Regions from separate parts of the Mus musculus genome. Here regions 1 and 2 are each reported to be linked to region 3. The links are microRNA targets in miRTarBase. Many come from high-throughput screens and were not tested one by one. Region 3 holds a microRNA gene; each other region holds the end of a gene's coding sequence.

Region 1 (5,074 bases), not on the chromosome of region 3:
GTGTAGTTTTGACTCAAGATATTTTCATCATTCAGTAGCTTAACCAGGACACTGAACTGAGCAGCATCAATAATGGGTTACATCTTATGCTCTATCTTCCAGGGAAAGAAAGTCTCTGGATGAGGCTGGCTAGGGACAGCATTTACCACTTTATCTTACTCACTTTCTTGCAAGTGTATCTCTGCACATGGGACCTGCTGTTCCTTGACAAGCTTTTTGTCATCCAATCACCCCACCCCAACCCCTGTCATGAAAGTTCTTTCACAAATTTATGGCCCAATGGATGGTGAGTGCTGGTGATTGGTAAGTTTAAAAGATGGCGACACTGCCCCTAACACCGTGGCAGACTTCTCCAGGTACCTGCTTCCTAGCAGGTACTGAGGATCCACAGCAGAAGGTTTCTCCCCGTGGACTGCTTCATACACCAATGTAAATGTAGCTTTTATTTACCAAATGTAATTGTGGTCACTCACTGCTGAACAAGCTCTTCTGTTCTAGTTCTTTCTGAACTCTGGTGGCTGGTTCAACTCAGCTGTTCCAGCTCAAACTCTTCTCCAAGCTGATTCAAACGGGCTTCTCATGGAATTGCTTGGCTTGTTCTTTGTTGTTGTTTGTTTGTTTGTTTGTTTGTGAGACAGGGTTTCTCTGTGTAGCTCCACTGCTCTGCTTGTTTGTTTGTTTGGTTTTGGTTTTTCGAATCACGGTTTCTCTGTATAGTCCTGGCTGTCTTGGAACTTACTCTGTAGACCAGGCTGGCTTCGAACTCAGAAATCTGCCTGCTTCTGCCTCCCAAGTGCTGGGAGTAAAGGTGGGTGCCACCACCGCCTGGCTGCTCTGCTTGTTCTTAAACTAACTCTGGCAATATATTCTAATCTTCTGGCTCTTTGTGGCTTCAACTGCCTTTGCTAACCTGCACTGAATTGCACAAACTCAACTCCACTGCACTGCATTCAACTTCTCTCTCTCTAAGTCACCTCTTTTTCCTACCCTCATGAGAATTGGGCATATCTTTAACTCGTTCTGTAGAATCTTTCTCTGATTTGTTACTTCATCTGCCCCTCAATTAGATGTCACTTTTTAAAAAAAAGATTTATTTATTTTATGTATGTGAGTGAACTGTAGCTATCTTCAGACACGCCAGAAGAGGGCATAGGTTCCATTACAGATGGTTGTGAACCATCATGTGGTTGCTGGGAATTGAACTCAGGACCTCTGGAAGAGCAGTCAGTGCTCTTAACCACTGAGCCATCTCTCCAGCCGTAGAAGTCACTTTCAAAATGGGTACTTCTTTCTACCAACTAACTTTACTGTCATTGTTATAGAGTATGTACTAAGGATGTGTCTATATTCTAGCCAGAAGGATTGAAGGTGTGTTATTCCAGCCAGATCACATAGACCTAGATCATCTTTGGAGGCGATCCCTTCCCGGAGCAGCCAATTGCTGCATTAAAATTCCTCTACAAGACAGATCACCATTGTTAAGCATCTCAAAGAACAAATTATCCACTAAGGAAAAAGTAGACAGCCCAAACAATAAACTCAGTTTAAATGAGAAATATAAAGATGACAACAATTTTTAAGAGTTTCTATTTGATGGTGGTGACACTTCTTTTCCTGGTAGCCAGAGACTGATTGGTAACTGACTGACTGTTTCCTGAGAGGGACCTTTCTGTCATGGAGGAAGGGACTGTGTTGAATGCTAAATTGATGTCAAGAGCTGCGTAATCTTAATCACTAACTTCTATTCGTCAGAGTCAAAAGTTAAACTGTATTCGAGAAGCCAGAATAGGGTCTGGGATGTAGTTTATTGTAGAGCACTTGTCTGCAGTGTGTGTGAGGAAGATGTCTCTGCCACCACCACAGCCAGCAGAGTAACATCCACGGAAGAGAAGGTAGTTTGGTTCAACACAACTAAGTTCAGTGTTGGTTCAAACTTTGGGAGTCTGGCCTTTCATAGTTTGTCTTAGATATATTTAAGTACAGCGCAATTTGATGAAAATGTTCCTGGCGATAACTCAATCACTTGTGCACTATAAAGTGTACACAAATCTCCTTGAGGAACAAAGGAAGCCAAAGAAAGATCAGAAGTGACTATATTGAAATTCTTTGTAAACTACACGTGCATAAACATGGATTCTATAGATTAACTACATGTGACACCTTACATATAGATGGGTTCTATATATAGGCTGCAAAAAAAAAAAAAAAATAACCCCTTGATAAGGACCTGGGGGAGGATCTGGTGTGGTCTTAGCCTCATAGTGCAAAGGTCACTAGACTATTATTAACTGTGTCAGTCCCCAGCCTTCTGGGTAAATAATGGTATGTTTCCCTCCCTTTGATGGAACAACCATGTATGATTAACATTCCATGTGCTTACCTGGGAGCACGGGGACCGTTGTGCCTCCTACACTTGTCTAGCACTTACAAAGTCCTGAATTCCACTTGCAACACAACAAAAGAAGAAAAAGCCAGCGTATTGGCTCTGCCTTGTGATTTTTCAGAAATAGAATTTTATTGACTGTCAAACAGGGCATGTCATATAAAAATCAACGCAGGCAAATTCGTTCAGTGTTCACACAAAAATATTTTTGATGTTCAAAATGAAATATCTCACATCAAATGAAATTTCACCTCTAGTGAAATTTCCCTTTTTACCTCCATGCTTTAGGCTTGCAGATGTGCTGAGTAAAAGCACGTGCACACGCGCTCACACGCACACACACGCGCGCGCACACACACGCTCACACACGTGCTCACATGCACACACGTGCTCACACGCACTCACACACACACACACACACACACACAGACACTCCCCCCACATACACACACCCCACATACCCCATATTTAAATGGTGATGTGTAGACAAAGCATTTTCCTGAGAGGCTGCAAAGATGCAAGGACAGCTTTCACACAGTGCTCAGCTAACTTAAATTAAGCAAAGGGTTCTCAAAAGGGAGGACCAAACTTCCCATGACTAGACTTAGCTGGAGGAGGAATCCAACTTACACCACTGTATTGGCTGCCTCGGATCCCAGAGGTTCCCAGAGTTTCTCTTTTTTATTTTATTTTATTAGATTTATTTATTTTATGTGAGTACACTGTTGCTCTCTTCAGACACACCAGAAGAGGGCATCAGATCTCATTACAGATGGTTGTGAGCCACCATGTGGTTGTTGGGAATTGAACTCAGAACCTCTGGAAGAGCAGTCAGTGCTGAGCCATCTCTCCAGCCCCAGGGTTTCTCATTTTTTTAATTAATTCAGTCCTACAGTGTTCCTTCCAGGAAGCTGTTGTCTGGGGGACCAAGTTAAGAAGTTGTCTTTTTTTTATTTGAGGCCACTAATAATGGGTAAAAGAACCCACTGTTGAGTGCTGACCATGAGAATGGATCCATGGGCCAAGCAGGTCACCTATGGATAGATGATGGTCACTTTTATAGCTCCACCATTGTGATGAGCCACCAAGTCACATTGACCACACTGTGGGTCACCTAGGTTTGAACGGTGACAGTTTCACGGTGACACTTTCACAGGAAATGCTTTCCAGTTACAGATCTCACTCATCTCTAGACCTCAGAATGGACGTCCAATACTAAAACACAACCTTTCCTGAATTTCTAGTTCCATAGACAATGAGTTTTCTATGGGTCTTGACTTCCCAACCAACTTCCACATCACTCATTCCTGTTCTCTACCAGAAAACTTAAAATGCTGAAAATTAAAATTAAATGAGAGTGAGCGAACTGGGGGAGGTGGGGGTGGGCGAGAAGACCCAGAAGCTATTATTCAAAGATCTCCCGGGAAGCTCTAAGCAAGGCAGGGTGTAACTTCTTTCCTGTGTAGTGTGTGATAGCTCCCAAGGAAGCCAAGAATATGCCACGCTCATGTCAATCGAGAGTCTTCTACAGCAAGCATTTCAAAGGGGTGAGAGAATTACAGGTTTCTGTTTCAATAGAAGTATATTATTTTAAGGTACACTTGAAATTTTAAATGTGTACAAAGTCAGAGGTTTAAAAACGGTTGGAAACCACAGACTCAGTTTAGGAAGCAGATGGTTGTGACCCTGCCTTCTCGCTTAATCCACGCCTGGTTTTACAGTCCTCACAGGTAAGCAGGCAGTGCCTAGAAGAGAAGCAGAAACAGATGGTGACTCACACTTTGACAATTGGAACTCTTGTGTCTGTCTGCCTGTCTGTCTGTCTGCCTGTGTCTGTCTGTGTGTCTTCCATCTCCTATCTTCCTAAGTGCTCATCTTACCACAGTAAGCAATGCAGAGAAATGTCTGATTTTATAGTTCACTAGCTCACCTTTTTTTTTTTAAAGTGGGATAATAGTTTCTTAGTTTACTATTATCCAAATACCATTCAATGTTTATGTTGAAACAGATGGTTGTATTTGTGCTTGGAGTCACACAAAAGCTAAACACAGTGACTCTTTGACCTTGAATCACTGGAGTGATTCCTACCACAACAAAAAAATAAATAAATCACAAAGTATTCCAGGTGAGTGGCTCACTTCTGTAGTCTCAAAGCTCAGGACCTAGGCTGGGAAGAGGCCTATGGGGGTTTTTCGATGAGACTTTTGCCTAAAAAGTAGCAATAAGTACACACCGCCTCTTGGACTGCAACATTGATTGGAGCTTGTTATACCTTGACTTTGTTAGAAAAGCAAATGGCCGTGTATTACTGCCTCTGAGGTGAGAGGGTAGTGGCCTTTCACACAGGGCTAAGCCTTGGGTTACCTTACACCAGTGCCAGCCCCGGTGGGGCTTTTCATGCCAGAAGCGGGCGGGTGAAACAGCTATAGAATGCAAAGCTGAAACAGAAAGTATGGCTTCTGGAAAAATGTAGGTTTCATCATTGTTCCAAAACCAAGAGTCATCACAATGCCTCCTTTGCTGACACTGCCTTTCTTTATTTTCCCTACACACATCAGAATCCTGGGCCAAGTGCACCGTAAGGTGACTCCAAAACACAGCTTTGCCAGGATGGAGCCACTCTGGAGTTGTCAGTAAACACTAATGCTTCCCCGCTGGCCTTGCAACCCATAAAGGGAAAGGTCAGGGGTT
Region 2 (5,074 bases), not on the chromosome of region 3:
CCACCCCTTGCTCACACTCCCAGCTAATCAGAGATGCATGTCTGGACTAGATCCTTCAAAACCATCTGCTTCCAAACCTGGGCAGGTGAAGATCTGAGTCTCCTTCCTTATGTCTCCCTTTAACAGCTGAGACAGTTAATGTTGCAGTGATGACATTTCAGTTCATGGAGCAGTTCATTGTCAAGTTGGTGAAGGCAGCATTTGAATGAGTTGATTATTAAAATTCTCAAATTTTTATTTGTGTGTGTGTGTGTTGATGTGGGTGGCTGATATGAGTGTGTGATTGATGTGTGTCTGTGTGTCTGTCTGTGTGTCTGTGTGAGTGTGTGTAGGTCAGAGGACTTTGTGAAATTGATTCCTTCTTTCCACCTTTCCACAGTGCTGAGGTCTGAACGGATATTGTCAGGTTGTGCAGTAACTTTAGCTTCTGAGACACCTTTCTGGCCCCTCAAAGAATCTTTTAATTTTTTGAAAGTTAAAGTATCCACAATAGTGGTTACAATGACCCTGCCCTGGGCCTTGTGTCCCTCCTCAAACCAGCCATGGTCATCCTAAGTTCTTGCTTGACTTTGGTCTCTGGTGGTAAGCCAGACAGATGTATTGTCATCTGTGTAAGCATGGTAGTGTTTGTCTTAAAAGGTATGGTCACGTGACCACAAGTAACAGGAAGCCCTGATTGAGAGTGAAGTCCAGCCACCACCAAGCTTGCAGCGCATGTGACTTACAGAGAACTTATATCTAAGGCATGTTTGGATCTTGACCATGGACATGGTGAGATGAGAATGTGTAACTTCAAGCTGTCCAGTCTGTCTCATGCAGAACTAGATAACTACTGTGCTTTTTCTATCTTTTTCCTCTGGTTTTTAAAGACGGAGAATACACATTTAATTGTTAATATTTAATATACATATTAAAGTGTATGCAGCATATGCAGTTAGGTAAATTTGTATGTATATATGTGTATGTTGGTTTATTTGTGTGTATTATTCTCTATCTTACTTTTCTTTCTTTTTTAAAAAACGATTTTATTATTTAATATGTATAATTGTTTTTGTTTGTATGCATGTCTGTGCACCACATGCGTGCCTGGCACTCTCAGAGGCCAGAAGAGGGTGTCAGATCCCTTTGAGCTAGAGCTACTGACAATTGTAACTGCCATGTGGCAAGTGGGTGCTCGGGAGGAATCAAACCTTGGTCCTCTGGAAGAGCAGCCAGTACGCTTAACTACTGCTGAGCTGTCTCTCCAGTCTTCTTACTGTGTGTGTGTGTGTGTGTGTGTGTGTGTGTGTGTGTGTGTGTGTGAGACCACGTGTACACACACAGAGGCACGTGCACACACACAGAGGCACGTGCACACACTAAAGTTAGTGTTATTGACGATGCTCCAAAATGGAATTAACCTGGTTATCCATCAACAGGTAAATCAATTAAACTGATAGAATAAAACAAAAGGTTTATAGTATTGAAAATAATAAAATAAAAATATAAGATGTTACAGATAAATCTCTAACATTTCATTCAGTCAAAAGAGTCAGACACAAAGATACACACATACTATATAATTTCATTTGTGTGATGATTAAAAGCAGGCAGAGCTAGTGATGTTTAAAGAAATAAATAAGAGTCGAGCTTTTTAAAAAGCTTCCCACCTGCTCTGAGCAGAACTGACTCATTGTGGGAATAAGGCCAAGAATTTGTTTCCTTGCCCCACCCACCTTTGATTATTAAGTATAGTCAACAACTGTGGAATGACCAAATAGGGAGCTAAGTAAGAGCCCCTGGGAGTAGTGAGAGCGCCCCCTATAGTTCTCGCACTGAAGTGCCACCCTGTTTGTCATCAGTCAGAAACTCAACCTGATGAAAACTGAGGGGTAGGTAGCCTTGGGGTGTGATTAGGATTAGAAGGCTATGGGGATGAGGGCATAAATGAATCCTAGTACTTTATCAGAAACAGAGAAGAATCAGATTCGCATGCATGATTTTCCTGCCTTTTGTTGAGCAATGCTTTGTGCCACCTTTAGACTCTGCCTGGAGGACAGACTCACCACTGTACGTGAACGTTTGACCTTCAATCTCCAGAACAGCGAGGTAAATAAATCTCTCTCCTTTATTAAAGTTAGGATCCTTGGGTATTTGATAATAGATCGATGCTTCATCCTATGTAAAAACAGAACTCTCTGAGGTTAGGCAAGCTAGGGTTCTCCAACAGAAATTATTGAAGAAATATCTGCCATTATTTAGACTAGGTTTTCTCTCAGATTTTTTAAAAAAAGATTTATTTATTATTATATCTAAGTACACTGTAACTGTCTTCAGATGCACCAGAAGAGGGCATCAGATCTCATTACGGATGGTTGTGAGCCACTATGTGGTTGCTGGGATTTGAACTTCGGACCTTCGGAAGAGCAGTCATCGGTGCTCTTAACCACTGAGATATCTCTCCAGCCCTCTTCTCTCAGATTTTTATCCAGAACCTTTGCTCATTGTCCTGAAACAGAAATGCCTGTTCCCAGATGGTATTTTGAGATCTCTTATTCCTGTCTGTCTCAGCATAAACTTGGTTGTGGTTATTGTGGGTTCTGAGTACTCAGTCAAGATATGAACAGGTTGGAAGGGAATCATGGGAGATGACATCAAGGAACAGTGGGAAAAGCATGAAGCTAATGATGTAATGACGATCTAGATGGTTAGAAAACGGGCATCTGGGGGGCTGGAGAGATGGCTCAGCGGTTAAGAGCACTGACTGCTCTTCTGAAGATCCTGAGTTCAATTCCCAGCAACCACATAGTGGCTCACAACCATCCGTAACAAGATCTGGCGCCCTCTTCTGGAGTGTCTGAAGACAGCTACAGTGTATTTACATATAATAAATAAATCTTAAAAAAAAAAAAGAAAAGAAAAAGAAAAAAGAAAGGGGCATCCGAACCAGACTGAGGTGGGAGGCTGGGCAAATCTGGTAAGACTTTGACGTGCGTACAGTCAGCACATCTTGAATTCATTAGTATTTGTTAAAGCCTACTCGTGATTAATGTCAGCACTCGGCAAGCATGTATGTAAGTTCCGTGTATTGTGGAATCTCATTAGCGTTCTCCTCCGTCCACACGCCGAGTTCAGGCCTCTGAAGGCTTCCTTTGTTCTCTTACTTGCCCATCCTAACTTTCAACCCAAGGTCTCTCATGGAACCTGGGACTCACTGATTCAGATAGATTTGTTGGCCATGCAGGCCCATGGGTTCCTCCACTCTGTGCCTCTCCAGTGCTGGGACTACAGACCCGTGTCACTGTGCCCAGCTTCTCACTTGCATGCTGAGCACAGAGACTCAGGTTCCTAACCACGGAGTCATCTCCCCTGTCTCCACACAAGTTGATTTTCACATATGCAATTACCCATGTGATCATCATCGAATTCAAGGCATGGAGATGTCCCTAACTGTAAGAAGTTACCATATCCTGCCTGCTCTTAATGGGGGTACTTGCCTGAATCTCCGATTAACCATGATTAAGCCCTCAGAAGATCCCAAACTTAAAAAGCAAATGCCACCACATTGAGACCAACTTAAAATCTAAGCCACGCTGTTTATTTTTCTCCAAAGTATAGATGATACAAGCCATATGTCAGGGCCTGTGAACACTGGGCTGAAGTGGTGACTCTCAGGGGCACTCCTGCTTTTCAGGCAGGGTTGGGGGAGTATGGAGTGGTTCAGTCTCCTCTGCAGCCTCCTGTCCTAGTAGGTGGGCAGAGCCAGAGTCAATGCCAATCTTCTGTTACAAATAAGGAGAAGGAGGTTCCGGGGTGGAGAAGAGAAATGCAGGGCTTAGCCAAGAGGTGCTTTTTTTTGGTTTTCGAGACAGGGTTTCTCTGTGTAGCCCTGACTGTCCTGTCCTGGAACTCACTCTGTAGACCAGGCTGGCCTCAATCTCCCAAATGCTGGGATTAAAGGCGTGCGCCATCACGCCTTAGTCTTATGTGGTGTAGTTTAACACTCTAGTTTCCGGGTGGGAAAATGAAATCCCAAAGATGTAACAGCAGATGACAAAGGACAGAGCTGATCTTCGGAGCTAGGAGCCTGGAGGTCAAGCCTTGCTCTGAGCCTCTGAAATGCCAGTCTATTCTGGAACATTCTGAGTTCTCCGTGCTTAATGATCTTGAAGACAAACCTCCGAAACCTCTGCGAAGCCAAGATTTCCCACGATGAGCAGAGGACTGAGGAGGAGTGTACGGGACGTCTATGTCAGGTGACAGGGCTGAGAATGGGCACACCCTGGACACCAGCTTTATGCCTTTTTTGGAAAGACAGTATTGGAGGAACTAGGAAATGGATGGAACATGTCACTCAGTGACACAGTGCACATGGCTTGGAGAGTCTCGCTGGGAAACCGCTGCCTTAGAACGGACAAAGTGAGGGTGGAGAGGCTCTGGGTAAAGTGGGAAGCCTGGACTTCAACCTGCAGAACTTGTAATCTATTCTGATGACTCCTTGGGCATATATGCCACGTTGTCATAGGCAGGAGGTGGAGAGACTGCTGGGCTGGGGATGTTGAAATCCGTGCCAAAGGCATTGGGTAGGAAAATCACAGACTGCAAAGAAAAAAAAAAAAAAAAATCCCAAATTTTGGGTGGCTCTGCGGTCTTCGGGGAGCGTTGCAATAGTGCCACCCCGTGGGTATTCAGAGAACAGCAGCTCTCTCACACAAAAGCATCGTGTAACTGACATGTTAGCAAACATTTTCTAGGGTCAGTTATGAGCTAGGACTTGGACACACTGAAGCTAGCAAAGTAGACAAAACCTCATTTCCCCTAGGGGCTAGTGAGCTGATATTTCCTCTCTGGATAGTCTCTGCTGAACCCGGGGCTTCTATAGTTCTTGCCTGAACATGCTGCTCTCACAGTAGTAGTCACTCACTGGGCTCCTTTAATCTAGTTCATCCTCCTGCTCCAACTTTAAATGGCACCTGCCATCCTCTACATTCTCCTTCCAGGCAAGCCTCTGCGCTATCAGAACCCCCTCTTCCCACTCTCTTCCACCCGCCTCCTATTTTCCCCTGGAAAAATGAGCTTCCACTGAGACATGCTG
Region 3 (5,074 bases):
GAAAATGTACCTTTCATTTTCCGTATCATCCAGCCACACTTAAGATGGAAAAAAGAAATGATACAGACGTTTTATCACAAAGAAAAACCAGGCCTGTTCTGAGAAATATCTGTGTTTTAAAAGATGCAGCTCGGTGGCCAGAGGCTGTGGTTTTCACCATAACCTGGGCTCTACCTGTACATTGACATTGCTGTCTTCTCTTTGGGGAGGGTGGAGGGAAGGAAGCCATCTAGTCATGTGGCCTCTCATCAATCCCTTTCTTCTACAAAGCACGCCTTCCTTCATGCCCTCCTCCATGCGTGCTTGGGGAACCACTGACAGATCGTGGATATGGACAATTCTGAGCACCTTGAGTTATACCTCCTTCGGATGCAGGAGACCTTGACTCCAGGTTCCACGCTCCACCCCCCCCCCACGCCCTCCACCCCCGTGCCTAATGTCCAGCAGGGGTCAGGACAGACAGACCGACCTTTGGGTTTGTCCCTGTAGGCGGTACAAAAGAAATTGCTATTTTTGATACTTTCAGGTAGCTGTTGGCCTTTTCTTACTTACAGTGGGCAATGGGCAGCTAATTCAAAAGGATGGCTTTTTAACTTTGATGAATTCTTGATTTAGCTTTGTTCTAGAATTCTCTTACCGAGAATTCCTCTCTCAGTTCTTGTAACACTCAGCCCCGGGGGAGGAGCCAAAGTGTCCTCCTCAAGGTTTCCATTTCTCACTCTGCTTAGGTGGCAGCCTCGTCTTCCCCAACCCAGCAGAGACCCAGACCCGAACTGGGCTCTGGCCTGGCCTAGCGGAAGGGGCTGCGGGCAAAGCTGTGTTCAGCGTCTTGCACACGGGCAGGATGGAGACCACGTCTACCCAGCCTGCCCACAAAGGGCTGAACCCAGAGGCCGGGTGGAGCCGGACTAGGAGCCAGGTGACCACCTGGAGTGCCGCACCCCGCCCGGCTCAGGCTCCGCCCCCACCCCGCCCCTCTGCCTGCCGGCTCCGCCCCCTTCCTCCTGGGGCCCCTTCGTCGTTTATTTGCATAAGGAGGCGGTTCCCCGCCCCGCCCAGCGCGCACGTGACCCTGAGGAGGCGGAGGGAACCTGCTGACTTGACACGAGCCGTTTTGCGGCTCCCCTTGGCGCGGAATAGCAAGAGCAGCCGTGACCTCCGACCCCGCCCGCCGGCAGCCAATAAGAGCGCAGGTCGTCTCCAAACCCAAAATTTCCACGTCGGCAAAAGTCAAGATGGAAGGGAGCGGAGCGGAGCGCCCACTGGAAGCCTAGCTCAGCGGCCCGGGGCGCAGAGGGCCGGGCTGCGGCGTGCGGGGGGCCTTTGGGAGGGCGGCCAGGCCAGACAGGCCGATGCAACCCCCGGCCGCAGCTTCGGAGCTCTGGCCCCGCGTTCTGTCGGCCACGCGCACCAACCGGGCAGGATGGGGACTGCGCTCTGCGGACCTGTTGCACGCGCGCAACAGCTGCTTGCGCGCAGTGTGTGGGGAGGCGTGCGGGACCCCGCACGGTGGTCCGGGCTGGATGGGCTAGGGGCGCCGGGCCTGTGTCGTGGACTGCATGCAGATCGGCTGCGGAGGCGCTGCCTCAGCAGGCAGAGGGAAACCGGGAGAGTGGGTGGGTGGCACCGAGGGGCCAGGGCTGCGTGGACGCGGATTCCCAGACTGTGCGCGGGCAGCTGGATAACCGGAGTAGTGTGGTGAGAATGGCTGGGGGAAGGGGAGGCCGCGAAAAGCCTGGCTTTCCCGGGACGTCCCATCTGCGGGGAAACTGGCTTGTGTTCGCCGGCTTTGACTCCCTGCTCCAGGAATTCGTTCTCATGAGGTCCTCCCCGCCCTCACCAACTTTCCAGATGGAAAGGTAAAAAGTTACCGCAACTTAGATTGAGTGAATTAGCTTCTTGCCAAAGTTTAGTAACAGGACCGGAGGAGGTGGGGGCTGGACCGGCAATGGATTCTTGTGTAGAGTAGGTAGGAAGGAGGGGGCATTGTGTGATTCCACTGGTCCGTTTGCTGTGACATTGCCACCAGAGTCTCTTAGGACACCCTTTCTACTGGATTTTTACTCCTGCTGACTGTGGCAGTAATTTTCCATAATTAACTATCCGTACCACTATTGGTCTCATCCTGGACTAAATTGCTTCTAATGAGTTATTCTTCTTTGCCTTCACTGGGGGCGAGGCGGGATGGCAGGGAGCACACCTGCAGGACGAAACTTCCAGAGGAAGACAGCCAGTTTGGTCTTTTGAGACAAAGTTCTGAGACACTCCGACTCTGAGTATGATAGAAGTCAGTGCACTACAGAACTTTGTCTCTAGAGGCTGTGGTCGCCGCCTCCCCGCAAGGGCCCTGGACGCCAAGCTGGTGGCCCTGTTGGCCACGTCGTTGCACCTTTCCTTTGGGGGAAGGGCAGCCCAGAGGGGGCACAAGGGCTTTGTGAAGAACCTGAAAAACTCCTTTAAAGTCAATGGGTTAGATCACATAAAGTAACTACCCCCCCCCATTTTTCTTCTTACCCTGGTGGACTGATTGCATATTTTTCAAGGTTATTTTTAAAATACTAAAATAGTCTGGCTTCACTTATTGAGCAAGGAGAGAAGGACCACAAGTTTATTGATGAGTGTGTTGGTATGTTCAAACTGTACCCTAAGAGAAGGAAATGCACTTGTGCCAAAGCCACAGGTAATGTGCCTTTTACTCAAATGCCCTGTTAGATAAATGAACCTGCAAGGATTGGGTTTGGATTTAGTTTCAGTTCTGAGTTTGATTTAGGCCCATCTCATTTTCCTTTTTTCTTTTCTTTTTTTTTTTTTGGGGGGGGGGTTGTTAATGGAAAGGAAGTACCTTTTCTAAGAAGGCATTTTGACAGTCATTTATGAGGTCAGTGTTTATACTTTGGAGCTGTGAGATACTGTACAGAGAAACTGCTCTCCTGGACCCTAATGGAATGTGGGTTGTGGCTGGCAGTTGCAGTTAATAGTGCGCTCTACAGTGGGCAGTGACTGGCATTGAACTGTATCCTGCTCCCGGGTCATTGCCCTATTTTGATGTTTATGGGTGTGGCTGGAGAGCGAATAGAGTCAAGGGATTACAAAACCGTCATTAACAAAGGCGCTAACCTGACACATGTATGTCAAGCTGTGACACCTAGTGATGAGCAAAAAGGAATGAAGCCTTCTTTGTTGCTTAGGGACAGCTCAGTCCTGGCAACGTTTGTAGAATGCTTCAGAAGCCCCGAGGTCTCCTGGAGTGTGACTCTGGGAAGTCTTGATCTAAAAAATGAAAATCCACCGCCTTTACTTCTGAGCACATTCCTATTGGAGTAGAGATAATGGGGAAGGGCCAATGGGAAAGTATTGGAGGAAGGACTTGCCAGTTGGCGGCACCTGTCTGGACCCCTAGCCAGGCGCTCTTCTGAGATTGTTAGCTACACCCAGTCTCCTTTCTTCCCACCAGTGACTGTTGAGCTTCATTGCTTCAACTCTCTGCCCAAAAGGTAGCTTAATCTTATTTTTGCAGTTGAATAAAGTGATCCAAATTCGGGTTCTTTTTGTTTTCATTTAAGATATAAGGTAAGCTTCCTGGTGAGGAGGGTTTCTTTCCTGATTTTTGTGAATGAATGTGTTCACAAAATACTATGAAACTACTAATTCTCACAATAGGCAGAACCAACTTTGTATGAGAATGCAGTGGCCCTTTGAGCAGATAAGGTGAAGTATCTGGGAGAGTAGCCATCCATGCAAAGGATTAGGTCAGGACTCTACCTTCAAGAAAGAGCCAGGTTTGGAATCCCTCACTTGGGTTCACCTGGTTTGACCTCATTATAAAAATGATTTGGTGAAAACTCTTGCTTTGGCCATGAGCGGGTTAAAGGGCCAGCCAGGAAGGAAGGCTTTGTGGCTTATCCTAGTGGTGTGCATGCTGGGAGTAGGGTCGAGGAAAACCAGCAGGCTGGGTGTGCTCTGAAGCTGGCATACTCCCACTGACTTTAGATATTGAGCAACCAGAGCCTTGTTACCAACTGAGCATCAGGTGTTAGATGCCAGGGTACAGCTGTGAGCAAAATCGGCTGACATCCGGTTCATTCTGGAGTCCATTCTCATGTTAGCGGTTGGCAATGCCACCATCATCAGGAAGGGTGTTAAGCATGACTGGGAAGAGGGAACAGCCTTTGGGGAAGGCTATGTGTTATTTTAACCCAGCTTGCTGAACCAGAGGGTACTGTCACCAGCACCCCAATTTGCATGGCCCAGGGCCTTCTTCATTTCCAGTAAAATAACTGAAGATGCAGCTGAATTGTATGTCATGGACACCAGTTGCCTGTCAGTACTGAACAAGCGTTTTTATTCGCAAATGCAAAGGTTGGCAACTGTGGGCATGGTTCTGGAAGATACCCACAGAGTGAGGAATTAGAGCATTGTGCCACTGGACCTCAGGGTTTTTTGTTGATAAACTCCAGGATTTTGGGTAACCTTGAATTAAAAAAAAAAGTTCTAGAAGCTCCCTGTGTACTCAGATATTCCTTAAGGACTTTTAAACTTACTTTAATTACCTGTCTGTGGGTATATGCACATGATTATTAATGCCCTAGGAGGCCAGAAGCATGGGTTCCCCCTGGACCTGAAATTACAAGCAGTTGTAAATTTCCCAACATGGGTGACAGGAACTGAAAAGAGCAGTGTCTTAGTTAGGATTTCATTGTTGTGAAGAGACACCACAACCAAGGGACAACATTTAATTGGGACCAGCTTACAAGTTCAGAGGTTCAGTCCATTATCATCAAGGCAGGAGCATGGCAGTGTCCAGGCTGGCATGGTGCAGGAGCTGAGAGTTCTACATCTTCATCTGAAGGCTGCTAAGAGAAGACTGGCTTCCAGGCAGCTAGAACTAGGATCTTAAAGCCCCTACCCACAGTGACACACTTCTTCCAACAAGGCCACACCTACCCCAATGAGGCCACACCTTCAAATGATGCCACTCCCTGAGCCAAGTGTATTCAAACCACCACAAGCAGCATGTGCTTTTAGCCACTGAACCATCTCTCCAGCCTCTCAGAAACTCAGTCGTCGGGAGCAT

What was found. Region 3 holds the annotated microRNA mmu-miR-148a-3p (UCAGUGCACUACAGAACUUUGU, at 2,289-2,310, shown strand). A microRNA usually pairs through its seed, bases 2 to 8, with sites in the 3' UTR of a target mRNA and lowers its output. Matches are read on the target gene's strand: a 7mer-m8 pairs with bases 2 to 8, a 7mer-A1 pairs with bases 2 to 7 and ends in A, and an 8mer does both.
Region 1: the mRNA of Ociad2 is a reported target of mmu-miR-148a-3p. Seed matches in the 3' UTR shown: 7mer-A1 at 3,215-3,221.
Region 2: the mRNA of Ms4a15 is a reported target of mmu-miR-148a-3p. Seed matches in the 3' UTR shown: 7mer-m8 at 4,343-4,349.

Annotation. Positions count from the first base shown.
Region 1 is chr5:73,319,720-73,324,793 of GRCm38, forward strand. It overlaps Ociad2 (OCIA domain containing 2), which reads right to left. Exons shown (of 7, transcript NM_026950.4): 7 at 2,479-4,128. The coding sequence ends at 4,047. Among named protein-coding and RNA genes, the nearest start is that of Ociad2, 17 kb to the right of the region's middle.
Region 2 is chr19:10,974,748-10,979,821 of GRCm38, forward strand. Ms4a15 (membrane-spanning 4-domains, subfamily A, member 15) reads right to left here. Exons shown (of 7, transcript NM_001034898.2): 7 at 3,560-4,578. The coding sequence ends at 4,462. Among named protein-coding and RNA genes, the nearest start is that of Ms4a10, 2.6 kb to the left of the region's middle.
Region 3 is chr6:51,267,065-51,272,138 of GRCm38, reverse strand. Mir148a (microRNA 148a) reads left to right here and starts at 2,229; the gene lies at 2,229-2,327. It overlaps Gm38821, which reads left to right. Exons shown (of 4, transcript XM_011241556.1): 2 at 729-932; 3 at 1,187-1,859.